2 linked regions of the Pelodiscus sinensis genome follow. The protein of the gene in region 2 binds, or shares a complex with, the protein of the main gene of each other region. Links are inferred from orthologs where the notes say so. Each region holds a gene or a part of one and is shown on either strand. Other genes may lie near its edges. The genes, in order: DPM2 and PIGP.

Region 1 (9,438 bases), on a different chromosome or scaffold from region 2:
GCTCTCCAGCTCCATGCTGCCACAGGGAGCCAGGCTTCTCCAGCCCTCAACCGCGCGCTGCTGCGGGCGACTAAAATTCCCCAGTGCCTGGTTCCGCACTGCCGCAGGCTGCCAGGATTCTTTAGTTCCTGGCCCAGCACTGCTGTGGGGTCCTCTGGTCCCATTGTCCCCGGGGGGCTGCTGGCCCTCTTTCCATTAAGCTCCCGAGCTCTCTGGTCCAGGAGCATCTGCTGTCTTGCTGGACCACAGATATTGCGGGACCAGAGAATGCTGGTTTTCAGAGGTGCAACCTGTACCAACACACTCACTAGAAATAACAGGAACATACCAACCAGGGATGTAAGCAACTAGTCTACTAGTAGACCATCCGATAAGCAAATCCTTATCGGATAGTTGACTAGTGACTCAACTAGTAGCTTCCCCTCCCCCCTTGCTGCCGCTATCAGAGAGAGTCAGCAAGGGGTGGGGAGCAGGATACGGTGCTGGGGGGAACCGGCTTAAAACCTGGTTCCCCCCAGCACAATCTCCATGGGAAGAGGGGACAGGGGTGCAGCGGGGAACTGGTGGCACTTTTGCCTTTGAAATGTAGCAAGAGCAAGACTGTTCTGCCCACAGCATGGAAGTGAACACTAAGGAGACTTTTTTGAAAACCCCAGAATTATTCTGAGTTTGAGTTTTGGGTGAAGGTTCAAAGGGGTGGAACACTGCAGTTATAACTTTATTCAGATCACCACACCTACCCCATCAAAGCACACTGATACAGATAATTCTTTGGGGTTCAGCTTTGGTCAAGGTTCAGAAGATCAAGTGTTTGAAGGGATGAGTGAGCAAGAAGGAGTTTATAGTAACGGTTTTACAGTGAGCATAAAGCTAGACAAACAGGTCTAACAAAAGTCTAAAAGAAACACAACAGTGAAGCCATTGAGACTGCAATAACCAGAGTGCATGCAGGAATCCATACCAGTATAATAATCCAGATGGTGTAGTAAACAAAAAGAACAAGGCTAAAGGCTACCAAGCCAAATCCGACCAGCTGGTCCATTGCTGTGGCCTGGAATACAAAAGTAACAAGTCAAAACAATTCAGCTCCTCCAACTGAATTATAGAGAGTACAAATGGCACAATGACATTTAAAATACAAGTGAATATTACAGCACCTAGTACAATGGGGTCTGGTCCATAACAAGCAGTCCTATGTATTATGGTAGCACAAATATATGATAAACGTATAGGTGTCCTTTCTATGTTGCAGTATTTACTCAGGCTAAGTCTACACTGCCACTTTACCGCACTTCAACTTTCTGGCTCACGGGTGTGAAAAAACAACCCCCTGAACACAGCACCTTACAATGCTGTAAACTTAGCTACAGTGCTAGAAGCCATGCTCCCAGAGCAGTTAATTACTCCTCTGGTGAAGGTGGTCTACCTAGAGAGCTGGGAGACCTCTGTCCCAGCACACTTGTAGTGACCACACTGCGGCATTCAAGTGCTGCTGCGGCTGTGCTTTAAACTTTCCAGTGTAAACAAAGCCTCAACTCCTGGCCATGAAGATGTAGTTTTGAAACAAAAGCCAACAAAGAAAAAATACTTGGACAAATAATTTGCCTTAAATGCCTCATTGATAAAACTCATCCCCTCTTGCTCTGAAATAGAGACAATTTCTTATGCTTTGTGAGATGCTCACCAAGGTGTGATCCACTCACTTGTATTGAAGCCGTTACTCATCCACAGAGCTTGCAACGATGTCCCCCTGTGCTATGATCCTAGAAACCTCAAGCTAAGTAGAGTCAGAGCAAGTCAGTTAGGAGACCTTCTAGGACAGCAGTTCTCAGACTGTGGGTTATGACCTGGTTTTAATTAGGTCAACAGGACTGGCTTTGACTTGCTGGGGCCCAAACCAACGCACCAGCCCCACCACCCAGAGCTGCAGCAGAAACCCAAGAGCTTCAACCTTGGGCAGTAGTTCTCAGATTACAGCTCCCTGCCTGAGGCTTGAGCTTTGTCCCCCTCCCTTCAGCCTAGGGCATTGGAGGCTTGGCTTTGGCCCTCCCACCCAGGGCAGTTGGGCTCAGGAAGATTCAGGCATCAGTCCCCACTAGGGATGTAATAGTAGTAGATTAACCAACTAACTGATAAGCAAAATGCTATAGACTACACTCATTTCCCCCCCTCTCCTTTGCCAGCAAATTTTTTAGCAGGATGGCCAGTAGTCCAACTCAGTCCTGATTCACACCAGGTATGGCACCTATTCCTGCTGCAGCTCTACATTTGAGGTGTATTAGGAACCAGATGGGCAAACAGCCTGGCTCAGTTCCAGCTCACGTGGGGTCTAGGAGCTCAGCCTCCCTCCTCCCCCCAGATAGGGGCTGCTGCACACTGTGGGGGGTGACAAGCAGCCGGTCTGCAAGGGGAGCTGGTTTTTAAACAGAGGCAGCAGCACGGAGTGGCAGGGGACTCGTCAGGAGTGGGAACAGAGCGCACTGGCTGCAGACCTTGTTCTATTATAGAACAGTTGACTAACGGATAAGAATTCATGAGGTTAATCGACTATTCAGTTAACCAATATTTAACGTCCCTAGTCCCTGATCCTAGGGTTGTGCAGTATTTTTTGTTGTCAGAAGTGGGTCATGGTGCCATGAAGTTTGAAAACCCTTGTTGTAGGAAAACCCAAGAAGCTGTCACAAGTGGTGGGTGAGGATTCACTACAATCAGCACTGACTTTGATCCAGAAGGGTGTAAAGAGGCACTGTGCTACTGGGAATATCTTTTTTTAAAGATATACAGAAAACCAAACTCCTGAGATTACTAATGAGCCAAGGCACTTGCTGAAATATTAGGAATGTTCACTTACCTATCCTGGCCCAATTCTAATTCATGTAATTACAACCTGGCTGGCCAACACACTCCTGAATTCAACTTATTTTGAGAATCTTAACATCTTGCATGTATGCTTAAATTCCTCAACATAACATTAACACAGCTTCATTGTGAGGCCAATATAATCATCTGATTTGATCAACAACACGTTCACCTATGAGAATCCCAATGTACTTCATCACTAAAAGGCAGCCGCCTCTGGGGTGGAACATGGATGTCATTCTGCATTATAAAACTTTGCTTTTAAAGGCAAGAAGTGACGGGGACAGGAGCCAGTGGGTGAAGGGCATGGAAGGGGCTGGTTCCATGGTGCGCAAGCGGAATGCAACTGCCAGGGTGGGAACCTAGTCTGGACACCGGCTAAGCCAGCACATGGGAGCGTCTGGGTCCGAAGTGCCCAGGGCTTGGGTTTTACAGCTTCCCATCAACGCTGCAGCTCCAGCAGCCCAGCACCCGTAGCCCCGGGGAAGGCCCCAGGGGGGAGCCAGCCTCAGTCTACTCCACACTCATGCTCGCCCGGCCCCATCGGACCGGGGTGTGTGTGTGGGGGGGGAGGGTGTTAACCCCTTCGCGCCCCTCCCCCATCGGACCGGGGTGTGTGTGTTTGGGGGGGGTTAACCCCTTCGCGCTCCTCCCCCATCGGACCGGGGTGTGTGTGTGGGGGGGGGTTTAACCCCTTCGCGCCCCTCCCCCATCGGACCGGGCGGAATTAACCCCTTCGCGCCCCTCCCCCATCGGACCGGGCGGAATTAACCCCTTCGCGCCCCTCCCCGTGCCCGCTGCCGCTCAGCTGAGAGGGAACCAGTTCATACCAAGCTCCTCTCCCGGGGGGCAGACGGGACTCACCATCCCCCCCACTCACCATGGTCCCCACCGAGCGCGGCCACTTTCTCCACCGCAGCCCCCCCCCCAGCCGGCTCAGCTACTTCCGGGAGACCCAAGCCAATCAGTGACCAGCACTTAGATCTCGTAGCATCCCGGGTGTTGTCTTGGCACAATTGCATTATGGGGGATGCAGGCTCTAAGGAACGCCTTCCCAAGGCATCATGGGAGATGTAGGCTCCACGCGGCACCTCTCCCAGGGCATCATAGGAGATGTACGCGCCACGTGGCGCCTCTCCCAGAGCATCATGGGGGATGTAGGCGTATCTTTTTCCAAGACTCTGGAGACAGTGCTGGGCAGAATAGGGTTGCCAGATGGTTTAGCAGGCAACCAGGGCCGGACCCCCTCCCCTCCCAAAAAAAGCACCGGGAATTTTTTGTTGACCAAAAAAAAAAAAAAAAGCACATCGGGCCACCAAAATGCAGTCGCAGCCCCTTTAATTGGTGGGTCACTCCCCCCATCCCCAGGGTTGCCAGGTGTCCAGTTTTCGCCCAGACTGTCCGTTATTCAGGTCTCCCCGTCCAGTAAAAAAAACAGAAAATACCGGACATGTGAAGTGTCCAATATTTCCTATTTCCCTCAGACGGAAGCCTGACAGGGACAATATGCACCTGCGTGTCTAGTGGGGTGGGCGAATGAGGAGAGTGGGGCCATTTAAAGGCACAGCACCCTTTTTTTCCCCCCAACAACTTTGGTCTCCCCCCAGGGTGTTCGGTATTTTTTGTTAAACCATTGGGCAACCCCTACATTGGGCACCAAGCCAGGAAAAGCAGAAAATACCAGACATTTTATGTGTCTGGTATTTTCTCAATTTCTTTACTGGACAGAAGGCACAAATACCTGACCATCCAGTTCAATACCAGACACCTGGCAACCCTAGAGCAGAGCGTTGGGTGTGTCTGTCACAAAAGCTTTGGGCACCATGTAACCGCCACCAGTAGATCCCTGCAAGTTTGTGGATGTGGCTTCAGATCCACAGGGGTACATGGATCTTTCCATGGATGATTTTATCAAACATCAAGCTACGACTCTGGTTCTAGCAAGGGTTTTCTTTCTAATTCCAACAGAAAGAGCCTTCCCCCCAAAAAACAAACCTTCCTCTTCAGTGTTTGTACAATTAGACAACTCCAAAGGGAAGGAGGAAGCCCTGGGAAATTATGATCCTCCCCTTGCCTAGAAAGAGAACTGCAGCAGGGCACTGGGTCCCTTCTCCAGGGGGCAGAGCACTGAACTTTAACTCTTCCCTAATTATCACCTACTAAGCCAGCAGTGACTTAGGCTCTTTAAATACTCTATTTTAGGGCTTGTTTGTCTACATGGGGAAATCTACCAGTGTAATTATACCAGTATAATTAGTCACATGGGTGATCACTTATTCCATATTTAAAGCGTGGTGTCACATTCACTGCAGACACTGACAGCTTCCTGTACAGAATTCAGCCCCACCATGGAAAGGCTGTCAATTCGGGTTCCCTCAGCCAAGAGAACCACCTCCACTTATTGGGGCCCAAGTCATCCAAACTTGGGATGGGAATGACCGAGACCAGTTTATAGATATGGAGGAGGTACTTGGGCCTCCAAGGAGAAGGGGAGGGCCACTCTGGGCTGTATCAGGGGAAAAGGTTGTCCTGGAGGTCTGGGCACCTGCTCTGATTGTTTCCAGGCCTGTCCTACAGACCCCTGAAGACTCTGACTCATTTCAATTAAAACTCCCTGCATGATGCCTCTCCTGCCTCAGACCCTGTCAACCCACAGATGTTGTAGATTTTATCCAGAGTGTCTTCCCCTACAGCTGCCAGACTGAGGACATGGCTGCATCATACTCATCTGGTTAGCAGGTGCACTAGCCCTTTACTTTCTGTTCAGTTACTAGATCTCTCAGCCCCAACTCCTCCCAATTTCTGTACAGAAGCAGCAAGGGGAAGCACCTTCACCTCAAAAGTTCTGCTTCAATCCCACCTGGTTGGGGATTCAGCTCTGGCAGCTGGGTACCAGAGAGCAAGGAACAGGAAACCATAGGAACTGACAAGTGAGAGGTGACTTTGGAGTGGGTTTTCTCTCTCACAGGAGGGCTGGACTGACCGAAGATTTTTCCTTTATAGTACATACCAAGCCTCAGGTTAGGCTTCATTTCAAAGGTCAATCTAGGTGATCTAGGGCAAAAACCACCCTGGTCCAGCATAGCGGAGACACAGCAACTTCCATCAACTTGGCTAGATCTGCACAATCACTGCAGCATAGGCAGCCCCTCTGCAAAGCACCACTCTGGCTCTGTAATGTTATGGCTGTGCAGATCACCTGGCACTAGGGGGAGCAGCTGCCCCGGAAGATCCTGTTTTCAGGACTGGTCCAGTGATCAGTTTACACACAGCCTCTGATCAAATGAAAGAGAGTGGAACTGACAATGATCTATTAACAGGCCAGTCCCATATTCTCCCCTCAAGAAAAGCCCATCCACCCCACCCCCATACATACAGCAGTCCCTGAATTGCCTTTTTCCCTCAGAGAGACCCCCTGGGAGACTAGAGAGAGGCCCTGTTCCTGGCAGAGCTGTACTCATTGAGCCCACATGATGCTGTTGGAGGCTACATACTGGACTTGCTCCAGGAGCCCTGGTTTCCCCCACTGTCTCAACAGCAGTACTGGGGCCTGGATTCTGGCAAAACTGGGGATGAGTGGGAGAGACCCAGCGTTGTGGGATGGCGTGTGGGGAAAAAAAAGAGAAGAAAAGGTATTGAATGAAACACCAAAGGGGAAAGGAGGAGTCACTCTGGAAACGTACATTGGCATAGCTGAGTCCCTCAGGGGCGTGAAAAATCCAACCCCCTGAGAGACCGAGCTACACTGACCTAACTCTGAGTGCAGACAGCACTAGGTTTTTCCCTAGACCTAGCTATTGCCTCTCAGGGAGGTGGATTAACTACAGTGATAGGAGATGCCCTCCTATCAGCATAGGTAGCGTGTAAACTGAAGTGGTGCAGCTATAGCATGTCAACACAGACAAGCCCTAAGTCTGTCGACCCGAGGCCGTGGGTTGCAGATGTCTCTCAAAGGGCCCACCCCCCCTGACAAAGGAAAGGCCAGAGAAGAGAGAACCCTTCATGTAAACATTTGCAGGGGCCAAAAAATGACCAGAGGGCAGAGACAGGCTCAAAGGGAGAGATCCAGAAGAGGACGGCTAACAGAGCCCTCCACACTGTGTCCACTGCTCTGAGGAGTCACTGGCTGCCTACTGGGACTGGATAGAAGTATGACTAAGGGTCAGGGAAATGGCTTCACCTAGCTACCTCCTCCTAGAGCAGGGTTAGTCCCTGGCAGGCCGCTGCCGCTATATTACCTGCACCTTTGTAGGTACTGGTGATCACAGCTCTCATTGGCTGTGGATTGACATTCCCAGCCAACGGGAGCTGCAATCGCTAGTACCAGTGGAGGTGCAGGTAAATATAGCAGTGGGGACCCACTAGGGACTAACCCTGGCAGTCCGGATCCAGCCTGCAGGCTGGATGGCTAGAGTGATGGATGGCTGCCTGGGGTGGAACCAGCCAAGAGAAGGGAGATGAGGTTGTGTTAGGATTTGACTGAGAGATGAACACAGATGAAGACTCTTCTGAGTGGGCTGGGGCCATAGCCCTACCTACAACAGCATCCTCCCTGGCGAGCTGAGTGATGGTATAATGATCTGCAAAAGTGTGCACTGAGGACCAGGTGGCTGTCCTGCAAATCACCACGATGGGCACCTGGGACACAAAAGCTATGGAAGAGGCTTGCGCTCTCGTGGAGTGCACTCTAATGGGCAGGGCCGGAACCCGCGCTAGCTCGCAACATGTCTTGATGCAATCTGAGATCCAGGATGAAATACTCTGAGCCGACACTGGCTGACCCTTCATCCTATCAGCTAATGCTATAAACAGTTGGGGGGACTTGCGGAAGGGCTTGGACTTCTCTAAATAAAAAGCTAAAGCATGCCTCACATCAAGTGTGTGTAAAGCCTGTTCCATCCCAGAGCTATGGGGCTTAGGGTAAAACACAGGGAGAAATATATCCTGGTGAGCAAGACAGACACCACCTTGGACAAAAAAGCTGGGTGGGGGCATAGCCTGACCTTATCCTTAAAGACGACTGTATATGGGGGGTCCACTACTAGGGCCCTGAGTTCTGATACTTTCCTGGCTGAGGTAATGGCCACCAGGAAAGACACCTTCCAGAACAGGTGTAGAAGGAAACATGTGGCCAGTGGTTCAAAGGGAGGACCCATAAGCCTCGAGAGCATTACATTTAGGTCCCAGGAGGGCACGGGCTCACACACCTGAGGGTAAGCCCTGTCTAAACCCTTGAGGAACCAGTGCACTATGGGGTCTGAGAAAACGGTCCTTCCCCCCGAGCCAGAGTGGAAAGCCAAGATGGCTGCTAGGTGCACTTGCATGGAGGAAGGAGTCAGGCCCTGGAGCCTGAGCCCCAGGAGGTAGTCTAAGATAACTGGGACCGGGGCCTCCAAAGGGGGGACCCCCTTATTACTGACCAGATCACAAACGGTTTCCACTTTGCCAGGTAGGAAGACCGAGTAGGGAGCTGGAAGCGTTCTAAGAGGACTGCCTGGACCTACACCAAACACTGCCTCTCTGAGGCCATTAGCCATGGAGCTTCCATGCCATGAGGTGCAGGGAGAGGAGGTTCAGATGCCGGAGTCTGCCGAACTCCTGCAAGATCAGGTCCAGATGCAGGGGGAGGGCCAGAGGCCACTCCACTGAAAGGGCGAGGAGGTCTGGGAACTAATGCTGACGAGGCCAGGCCTGGGCTGTCAGAGTCACTGAGTCCTGGAATTCCCTGACCCTGAGGATTACTCTGGGGATCAGTGGGAAGGGGGGAAAAGGCCCCGAGGCCAGAGGATCGTCAACACATGTCCCAGAGACCCCGGGCTGTGCCTGTACAGAAAGCAAAACCAGGGACATTTCCTGTTGACATGGGTGGCAAACTGGTCTCTGAGGGCAGATGTAACCCTCTCCATTTTCCACAGGTGAGGGTTTCCCCAACTGGACCTTTTGTACCCCTGGAAGGACCTGCTGAGGTGATCCACCAGCTCATTCTGAGCCCAGGGGAGGTAGGTGGCCACCAGGTGAATATTGTGAGCTACATAAAACTCCCAGAGAAGGAAAGCCTCCTTGCACAGGGGATAGGAGCGAGCACCACCCTGTCTATTTATATAAAACATTGCAGCCATATTGTCAGTCAAAATTGAAACGCACCTGTTTTGGAGCCGCAGTAGGAACACACCACAGGCATGGCGAATAGCTCTCAACTCCCTGACATTGATATGGAGAGAGAGATCCACGGGGTCCCACACACCTTGCGTCTGGAGCTTCCCAGCCCGTGTCAGGAGGCGTTCATCACCAGCTGAATGGACGGGGAAGAGGTAAGAAATGGCATCCCTTTGCAGACCACTTCCTCGCACAGCCACCAGTCGAGGGATTTCAGCACGTCCACGGGGACTGTCACCACCGTGTCCATATGCTGAACAGCTGGGTTGTAGCTCCAGTGCAGCCATAGTTGAAGCGGTCTCATTCTGAACCTGGCGTGCCGTACCACGTAAGTGCAGGCCGCCATAAGCCCCAGCAGCCTCTTGCAACAGCAGGCTGTTGTGGTGGGGAACGACTGTAGTTGCAGAATAGCATCCCTCAGTA
Region 2 (9,200 bases):
ATCTTACCGTCTATTTATCCAATCCACATTCCCTTAACTTGCTGGCAAGAATATTGTGAACTCCTGGCTAAGCTAGTAGTGGTACGGACCCACCACTGACCAGGCTCTGGGCTGGAATCCAGTGAAGAGAGAGGGCCTGGGACCCCCTACCCTGCCCCATTAACTCCTAAGGGGGGCCATCACACTGGACTAGGAATGTTAAAGGTAGTTTAACTAATTCAATAAACGATGGGATTTCCATCCATTATTCAATTAGTCGATAAGGGAGCCTCCACCTTTGAACTGTAGCCAGAGCTCAAAAGCAAAAGCCCAGCAAGGAGCCTGGGGCCAGCAGGTGTCTGGCCCGGTGCTCCTGGCACGCATGAGCCTCTGAAATGTACAAGTGCCCTGCTGGTCCCATGCTCTCTGTGGGGCTTCTGCTTCTGAAATGTACAAGAGTCCTGCTGGCACTCTTGTACATGTCGAAAGCAGAATCACATCAGAACTGGGCCGAGCCCAGACTGCTTCAGTCTGCACTCATGATGTTTCCCACTGGGCCTCTATCTCCCCTACCCCCCACGGAGATGGTGCTGGGGGAAACGGGTAAAGGCAGCAAGGGTTGAGAAGGGACTGGTCATATCACTAGTCAACTATCTGATAAGCTAATGATTACCAGATAGTTGACTAGTCGTTTACATCCCTAACTTTGACTACTGACTTGGGCCAGTTGGCCTTGGTGCCCTGCAATAGGGAGTCTTGCTACTGACTCAGCCACTGGGCCTTATAGCCCTGCTCATGGTGGCTGCTATTGACTGGAACTAAGCCAAGCCAGACTATAGCCACTAAAGGGTGGAGCACATCAGGCGTGGCTTGATAGGCTCGATAGCCTGCCTTCAAGTGGGCCGGGCTTACCACCATGTGACCAGCCCACGGCCCTTTTCTTTCTTTCTTCCCTGGCAAATTCTGGGACCATTAATCCCTTTGAACCGATGTGCTTCTGCCCTATGGGAGCAGGGGAAAGAATGAAGCATATGGTCATACTCTACCTGGGTCTATATTGTGAGTTTACAGGTAGAGCTTACACAATTTCTTGCATCCCCATGGTGAAGTCACCTCTGTTCACAGTTCAAAGTTTTTGCCAGGCAAAAACTTTACATTCCTCCGTTCTCCCTATTTCAAGCACATTAACCTTAGGACATCACTCTTCTTGGCCACAAACTGTGTACTGTCAGTCTCTAAGAAGCATCTGGGTTTCTTATGCCTGAGCTTAGGTATCCTTTGTGACCCAGCCTTTCCTGGGTGTACTGTAGTACTCTGCACCAGCCAGTAATCTCCATTGTTACTCCAGAGACAACGCAACTTGCATGCCCCTTCTGCTCTTAGTACCTACACTACTTCAGTGGGACCACCTGACTTTTCCCTTCAGCATCTGCAACACCCAGGCCTACAAGGACTGCTGAGCTCCCCAGCCAGCCTGTGACATGTGTTCCTTGAGTTTTCACTGCTGCTCCTTCGAACATGCAACATCCTTCCCTCAACATGAGTTTAAGCATCATTCTATATTATCATCTCTAGATGAAGGGAGTGAGCCTCATACCCCACTTCTGTAACCATACCATAATGAGAGCTCTCAAACTAGTGTGCCCCCTGGAAGCCCAGCCATTGCAACTCTGCCTCCATTTCGCTGAGTGAAAGTTTTATGAAGTGCATATTGAACACCTGTATGGGGCCTAGTTTATTCAATCCTATAGGTGAAATATCACATCAAAAGGCCTCCACTTCACCATCTCTAGTAGGCAGGAGCTGAGTCAACATTAGTCAGTCAACCAAGTTGTCCCAAGTCCTTTACCGGTGAGGCATCCATGACATGGAACCTTTTCAAGAATCAGGGGTCTCTTCTCACTAACAGGGGGAAGGGTCCTTTCTCTTAGGTTAAGGCCGAAGTGCAAAGACCATTCCTCAGGACAACATCTAATGTCTTTTTCCTCCAGGGCTTCTGACTGGAAGTCTTCTATAAGAGCCAGATTCTCTAAGGCTGTGTCTATATAGCACCCTTAGCTCACAGTAAGTTACACAATTTGTGCTACGCATTTCGAAATAGCACCAAATTTTGAAATCACTTGCTAATCCGAATTTCCCCTTAACCCTGAGGAACGAGGGTTACCAGGATGTTGGAATAAGTCGCTTGTTATTTCAAAAACTATTTTTAAAATAATGGGCTGCTTCAATCGACGTGGAATAGCTATTTCAGGATACTTCTGGTATCCTGAAATAGATCTGCAGTGTAGATGTACCCTAAGACTAAGAATTCACACTTCCTTCCTTCCAGAAACTCTCCAACTGTGGAGCATTCTTCCCAGGTTTCCTTCAATGGATCCTTCACCCTAGGTCAGCCTGTCAGAGGTAAACAGAGCCCTGATTACTTCTGAGAGACAGTCACCCTGTGGTCACCCATACAGCCTATTCCTAGGGGAATAATCTGTAGTGGTTTATCAGTGTAATTGTTTTAATTAAAGATCACACCAGTATGATTTAAGTTAAAATAAGCAACCTACACCTTGACAGCTATATTAGTACAAAAGCAGCATGTAGACTACCTGAATAAGAACCTCCATTAGGCATCTTGCCAGTCCCTTACATATTAGTGTTTACTTACCAATTCACAGCATGGTTTAATACAACCACGATGAAAAGTGATGCCATTGAAGTCTGATTCCAATGTAGTTTCTTCCATAGTGCATATCCCTGGGGGGGGGTGGGAAAGCCACAAATGCATTAGAAAAGACTCAATCGGAATACTCCTCTAACAGACCTTAGAATGTCTGCAAAATTAAATTATAATCTAATGAAAGGGGAAATGAGCCCTTCAACTGTGAATTTTAGTTTTCCACTCAGGATTGTCCAGAAGTCCAAATAACCAGCACCATTATTCGATGAGTCACAAATCAGGACTAAGCACTGCATAAACACAGAACAAAGACAATCCCTGTTCTAAAAGGCATAAAATCTAAGTATGAAACTAGAGATAAGGGATGACTACACAGATTGGTGGGAAAACATAGGAAACACAGAGACAATACTGGCCAGCATGATAGTCTGTGGCTCTCCTCATACCTGCAGCCTATGAAGATTTTTGTAGGCTTCAGGACTCAACATTTTTCATACTGGATCACAGAGAACAAATCAACACCATAGTCTCTCCATGCCAACTGACCCAAAACATTTTGTTATTTGCATTTTATAGTGCACTTTCTCCACTAATCACAAAAAACTACATAGACTAACAAAAATTCATAAAATGCTTTTGATTTGGTTCCCTGGCATATTGTACCTGTGTTCTTTCTGTCTCTCCATGGACACTTCTTCCAAGTAGCAAGCCTCTACTTGTATTTCTCCAGCCATTCACAGACAGGATCATCAGGTGTTTGCCAAACCTCACTTGCAGCAATAGGGTCCAGTTTGTGGGACTTTGTAACTTTATCACCAAGCTACAAAATCCTTTGTTTGCTTATACAAATGGGTTTAACTATAGACTATTCTCTGAGGCTGTGTCTACGCTGGCGCGATCTTGCGCAAAAGCTTGCTGCCTGTCTACACTGGCTGCATGTTTTGCGCAAGAAAACTGACGTTCTAATGTATAAAATCAGGGCTCCTTGTGTGAGAACTCTTCCGCTTCCGCTCAGGAATAAGCCCTCTTGCACAAAAGCTCTTCCAGAAGAGGCCAGTGTAGACAGGCAACATGAATTTCCTGCGCAAGAAAATATCATTGATCTGAGGAAGTGGGTCTGGCCCACGAAAGCTCATCACTTAATAAGCCATCTTGTTAGTCTTTAAAGTGCTACATAGCTCTTTTATGAACACAATGAGGTCTTCAGTCAGTAACTCTCTCACCTCAGCTCTATGGTTCAATTTCATCCATTCTAAAGACCCTTTGGTTTAGAATTTCAAAGTTCTTTTGTCTAACTTGGCACCCTGTATGCGGTCTGGATTGGTTTGCATGTTTCACCACAGAAACATAACTGTGGTCATCATACAGCAGATTCTAAGCATTGTCTATTTCAGTACAGGACAATTAAGGCAGACAGCCGTCATGTCTTGACCCGGGGGAGCCAAAGCCAGCTCAGGCTGTTTGTAACATTAAGAGAACTAATCTCTCAACCTCATTTCATAGGATACAGGTACATGTCTATGAAGACAAGGGCAGGTCCTATCGGTGGTCTGTCACCCCCGGAAGGGAAGCTCATCCACCCAGCTCTGTAGGAAACGTCTCCCCGCGCTAGTCCGGAGTGAGCCAAGCATGCTCACGGGAACTGCTGGATAAACAGGCGGCCGGGATAGTCTCTACACCACACAGAGTCCTGCCCTGGCTGCTGGGGCTAACAACCGGGCAGGACAGGAGGCGCGCTCCCTAGGCTACAGCGGGGGCTGCTTACATGGCATGGGCGTGCCAAGGACGCGACTCAGACCGAGCCCCGCCTCACGAGACACTTTGCAACGGAGGCGGCGGAAGCTGCTCGGGCAGGACCCCCCGGCCCGCCCGCCCGGCCACGCCTTCCTCCGGGCGCGCCCGCTGCCTTCGCCACAAGCTCCGGGCCGGGGCAGAGGAAACGGGCGGGCCGGGGCTGGGCGTCCCTAGCAAAAAGCCCCACGGGCGGCGAGAACCTGTGACCCGCCGGAAGTGTGTGAAGCTGAGAACAACCCGCCCGCCCGGCACATGAGAGGCGGGGATACCGCGCGAGCGCACCAACGATCGTTCAACCGACACCCCGCAACTCACCGGGTCGGACAGCGCGCGCTTCTTGCAGGGGGCGAGCGGCCCGTCCAGCGCTACCACAAGCAAGGCGCAGCAGAGCCTCAGGCAAAGCAGCCCCGCCCCCACGCACGCATCCGCCCCAGCGCTTCGATTGGCTGCTTGCCCTCTGACGCAGAGATTTCAGCACGGGGGTGAGGGCTTGCGGCGTCTGCGCGAGAGACCCAGGCAGGAGCGGTGGGTTCCCCACTCTCCTTGTGTTGGCAAACACTGCGCAGGCGGGGAAGTGGCGACCACGGCTTCTCTTGACGTCATGCACAGGCGACGCCTTCGGGCGCGCGTCTCCGTGCGTCGTGTCGGCACGTCAGGCGGAGGAGAAGCGGCGCGGGGGATGTGCCGCGGGCAGGGCAGGGAGCCCCTCCCCCTCCCAGCTGCGTCGCCTGGCTGCAGGGCGGGGGGCGGCGCTTCGCCCCTTGGGTGTCACGTGGCTGCTGTGAGCCCGGCGCTTTTCATGGGGAGGGTCCGCGGGTGGGGAGTTCGCGTCCCCTGAGCGAGCCGGTGGCGGGCGGGGACTGGCCCAGGCAGGGGCGGGGGACCTGAGGCTGGGGAGCTGGCTGCGGCCCAGAGGCTCAGGGCTGCTCCTCAGCGCTGGGGAGCCGTGGGGCTGGAGCACGCAGATCTGCTAGCCTGGGCTCTGGTGGGAGGGGGCTGTGGCGAGTGGCTTTCTCCTTCTTAGGGCCACGTCAGTGTGGTGGGGGGGGGGATGCTTCTCACTTGTGTGCAGATTATCCTTGACTGATTTTTCTTTGGGTCAGCAGGCCCTGTCCCAAAAAAGGGTCCCCACCCCCAACGCTTTGTACAGCACTGCTGCTGCTCTGCCCCAGTGGGAAGAGAGTTGCTCTGTGGTTGGATTTTCCCCAGGCCTTGCCTAGTTCACCCATCTCTGCATTTGCGGTGGCAGGTGCTCTGGAAAGCACTAGGGCTTGGCACCCACCCACAGGCTGCACTCTGCCTGCACTGCCCCAAAGTGGAGCAAGCCACCTTTTGGGTGCCTAGTTCTGCTACAAGGCCTTGCATGGTTCTTTTTCCCCACAGGGGCAGGCTGTGCCCACCAGTGAGATCAGTGCTAAAAGGAATGGGAAATACTGGTTTTCGCAAGCCCTCCTGGTGTCACCATGCCAGGAATTTGCAAATCTAGTTAAAAAGCAGGCTCCTTTGTCAGGAGCCGTGGCAACACGTGGCCCTGGAGTATGCTAGCGCTCACGTTGCACTGGGAACAAAGCTATTTAAGTCCCTTTCCCGATAGCCACAAAGAAGATGAAAGTGAGAGGATAACATATTCATGGGCTTCTCAATATCTTGGAAACCTGTTTTAAAAAAAGATGATGTGTTCCTGACAGCTTCTTGTAATTAATTTCTTTTTCTCAGTTAAAAAGAAGACACTAGCATGGTCGAAAACTCTCCAGCCCCATTGCCTGAAAGAGCAATATATGGGTTTGTTCTTTTCTTAGGCTCCCAGTTTGGCTTTAGTAAGTATGCTTACTTTCTAAGTAAAGTGCTATATGTATTTGCTGTACTAAACAGGTGCCTCTAGTAAGGTGTAGAAGTTTTTAAAAAGAATGTTTACATTAATACTTCTCATGTAATAAAATTATATTACCTGTTATGAAAAACTGAATTATTTTTTGCAATATTGTAACCTTGTTGAGCCCAGGATACTGTAGAGACAAGATGTTGAGGTAATATCTTTTATTTAACCAACTCTTGTTAGTGAAATAGATAAACTTTAGTGCTCTGTGAGCAGGACCATCCCTCCAAATTCATGAAATATGCAGCAGTAGGCTGCATATCGGATCCAGGGACCAGCCCCTCATCCCACTCACCGGGCGGTGACAAGCAGCAAGGGCCGGAGGACTCAACAGGAGCAGCAAGCGGCTGTGCCTGGAGCCTTTCATTCGCTCCCCAGAGGCTTCAGGTGAGCCGCCTTGCAGTGCTCCTGTACCCCTCAGCTTCTGCCCCCCTGCAGAACTCCTCCCTGCCCTCTCCCCCTCCATTCTGAGGAGGGATGCAGGTGCTGGGTTGCTTACAGCACCAGCATTGCTAGGGAGTGCCCTGTCTATAAGCTCAGAAGCAACTCTTGTTCACCAATAGAAATTGGTCCAGTAAAAGATGTGACCTCACTTCCTTGTTCCTCTGAACTATTAAAACATTTTGCAACTTTGGGGCTAATGACAGACAGCACAGCCCTAGTGTTTACTGCCCTCAGTCCCCACAGTACATCAGCCAGCCTTAACTAGGGCTGTGTGCTGGGAAATTCAGGAGGGAGCCAGGGCGGAGCCATGGCAGACAGTTGGCTTGCCCAAGTCTATAATATTTACCACCCATGAGTCCAAGTAGTCAGTTCTCTTGCATTCTTTTGGATTTTTGTTCTCCGTGATACTGCTGCTAGTGGCCGTGTAGCTGAGTGTGCCGAGGGAACGGCTATATTCATGGACAGGTGGTAGTATATAGGCATAGTAAGGCTCAGCCTTCCCTGCTGCCCACCTGCCATTGGATTCCTGGACTGCAGTGGTTCAGCCACTCCACCATCACCACCACCTTTCTGGGGGTTTTCACAGCATCCTACCTACTCTTGGGAAGGAGAGTGAGAACTAAGACATGGCAAGCCATTGGATGGATGGCCGGAGGGCATCTGGCAGGGAAGTGAGGCAGCTTGTCCAGGGTTGCTGGGAGGGATGATGCTCAAGAGACCAGCCTGGCATTTGGGGAAGTTTGTCTGGGTGGGAGGGGGCTTCAGGGAGGCTAGCAGCGCACCCAGCACAGTGCAGGTGGGAGGCACTGGCTCAGACAAAGGGGGGCAAGCTGCAGGGCTGATGGCTTGGCCTATGACCAGGAGAGGGAGGTCCAGTGCTAGGGATGGACAGGCAGCTCGGCCTCATTTGGTTTGGGCCAGCAGGTGAGGGCTCCCCTTGTTGCAGGGGAGGCCTTCAGGGCTCCTCCTGTTAAGAGAGTGGGTGTTTTGGGGTACATCTAGACTACATGCCTCTGTCGCCAGAGGCATGTATATTAAGCTACCAGGCATAGGAAAATGAAGCGACGATTTAAATAATCGCCGCTTCATTTAAATTTACATGGCTGCCGCGCTGAGCCGATCAGCTGTTTGTCGGCTCAGCGCGGTAGTCTGGACGCGCGGGTGTCGACATCAAAGGCATTTGTCGACCACCCAGGTATGCCTCCTGGGATGCAGTTTACCTGGGTGGTCGACAAATGCCTTTGATGTTGACACCCGCGCGTCCAGACTATCGCGCTGAGCTGACAAACAGCTGATTGGCTCAGTGTGGCAGCCATGTAAATTTAAATGAAGCAGCGATTATTTAAATCGCCGCTTCATTTTCCTATGCCTGGTAGCCTAATCTACATGCCTCTGGTGACAGAGGCATGTAGTCTAGACGTACCCTAAGTGTGTGGGAGACAGGGCCTCAGGCAGAACAGGTGGGGCCAGCAGGCTAGCCTCCCCAATGTGGGCGGTTCAGCCTCTGCCCATAGCTATATTTCAGGGAATTAGTTGAAAACCTTTCAAGTAGGCTAAGTGTACAGCATATCTTATGTACACAGTTGGCACTCTGACTTTAACTTCAGTTAAAGGTACAAAACAAATTCTGAAAATGGGCTACTGATAGTCAAAGGATTCTGGGCAAGAGCAGTGAAGACTGACATAAGAATCACATCAGTTTCACTGCTGCTGTTTTCAGCAATAATGCGCTTCTGCAGAGGCAGGTGCTGGAGATACTCACAGGGTAAGGAATGCAGTAGCAGAGCCCATACACCCTTTGAGCAAGTATGAAGCTTTTGGGTTGAGAAAACTAACTAGAAAATGTGTGCTCCTTCTCTTCCAACAGTTAGAGGATAGTTTAGGGACTGCAAATTTAGCACATCAAAGACTGATATGAAAAATGAAGCACCACAGCAGTTTTCAGGGACAGAAGAGGACTTGGCTTCAGGAATCCAATGTCAAGCAGCTTAGCCGGGGTGCAGCTAAGGAGGGCTTCACTCCTTTTAAGGGTTTTCCCACAAGACCCTGCTCCGAGATGTCATGTTCTGTATCCTTATTCTAGTAAATGTTCTGTTGATCTAAGATGTAAAAGCTTAACTTTGGACCAAAATTGACTTTACTGTTCCTCTTAAGAGAAATATTTTTGGATTAATACATTGGCATTGAAATTAGGGATGTAATAGTGTAGCCAGTTAAATGATAAACCGATATGCTGATACTAATCCGTTAATGCTACCAGCTACACACAACTCTCCCCTCCCCCTTGGCAACATTTAAATGTAGAGCCACAGCAGGAATAGCTGCCAGATCCGGTGCAGCCTGGGACTGAGCCAGCTCGCCAGCTCCCAGGCTCCTTTAAATGCAGAGCTGCTTATCAGTTAATCATGTAATCGATAACATTTTTGTCAGCCTCATGGT

Evidence for each region.
Region 1: PIGP (region 2) and DPM2 share a complex: the UniProt entries of both Homo sapiens proteins name them as parts of the glycosylphosphatidylinositol-N-acetylglucosaminyltransferase (GPI-GnT) complex. The link is inferred for Pelodiscus sinensis from reciprocal best matches to the Homo sapiens genes PIGP and DPM2.

What each region holds. Positions count from the first base shown.
Region 1 is NC_134732.1:10,558,050-10,567,487, reverse strand, and holds the start of DPM2 (dolichol phosphate-mannose biosynthesis regulatory protein), read right to left. Parts: upstream 3,879-9,438; 5' UTR 3,743-3,878; coding exon 3,740-3,742; intron 1,052-3,739; coding exon 962-1,051; intron 1-961. UniProt on the Homo sapiens protein: Regulates the biosynthesis of dolichol phosphate-mannose. Regulatory subunit of the dolichol-phosphate mannose (DPM) synthase complex; essential for the ER localization and stable expression of DPM1.
Region 2 is NC_134711.1:186,269,079-186,278,278, reverse strand, and holds the start of PIGP (phosphatidylinositol N-acetylglucosaminyltransferase subunit P), read left to right. Parts: upstream 1-4,783; 5' UTR 4,784-4,923; exon of another isoform or gene 4,924-4,966; intron 4,967-5,042; exon of another isoform or gene 5,043-5,222; intron 5,223-5,547; exon of another isoform or gene 5,548-5,683; intron 5,684-6,157; 5' UTR 6,158-6,176; coding exon 6,177-6,258; intron 6,259-9,200. Other genes in the region: E3 ubiquitin-protein ligase TTC3, read right to left, coding at 2,636-2,713. UniProt on the Homo sapiens protein: Part of the glycosylphosphatidylinositol-N-acetylglucosaminyltransferase (GPI-GnT) complex that catalyzes the transfer of N-acetylglucosamine from UDP-N-acetylglucosamine to phosphatidylinositol and participates in the first step of GPI biosynthesis.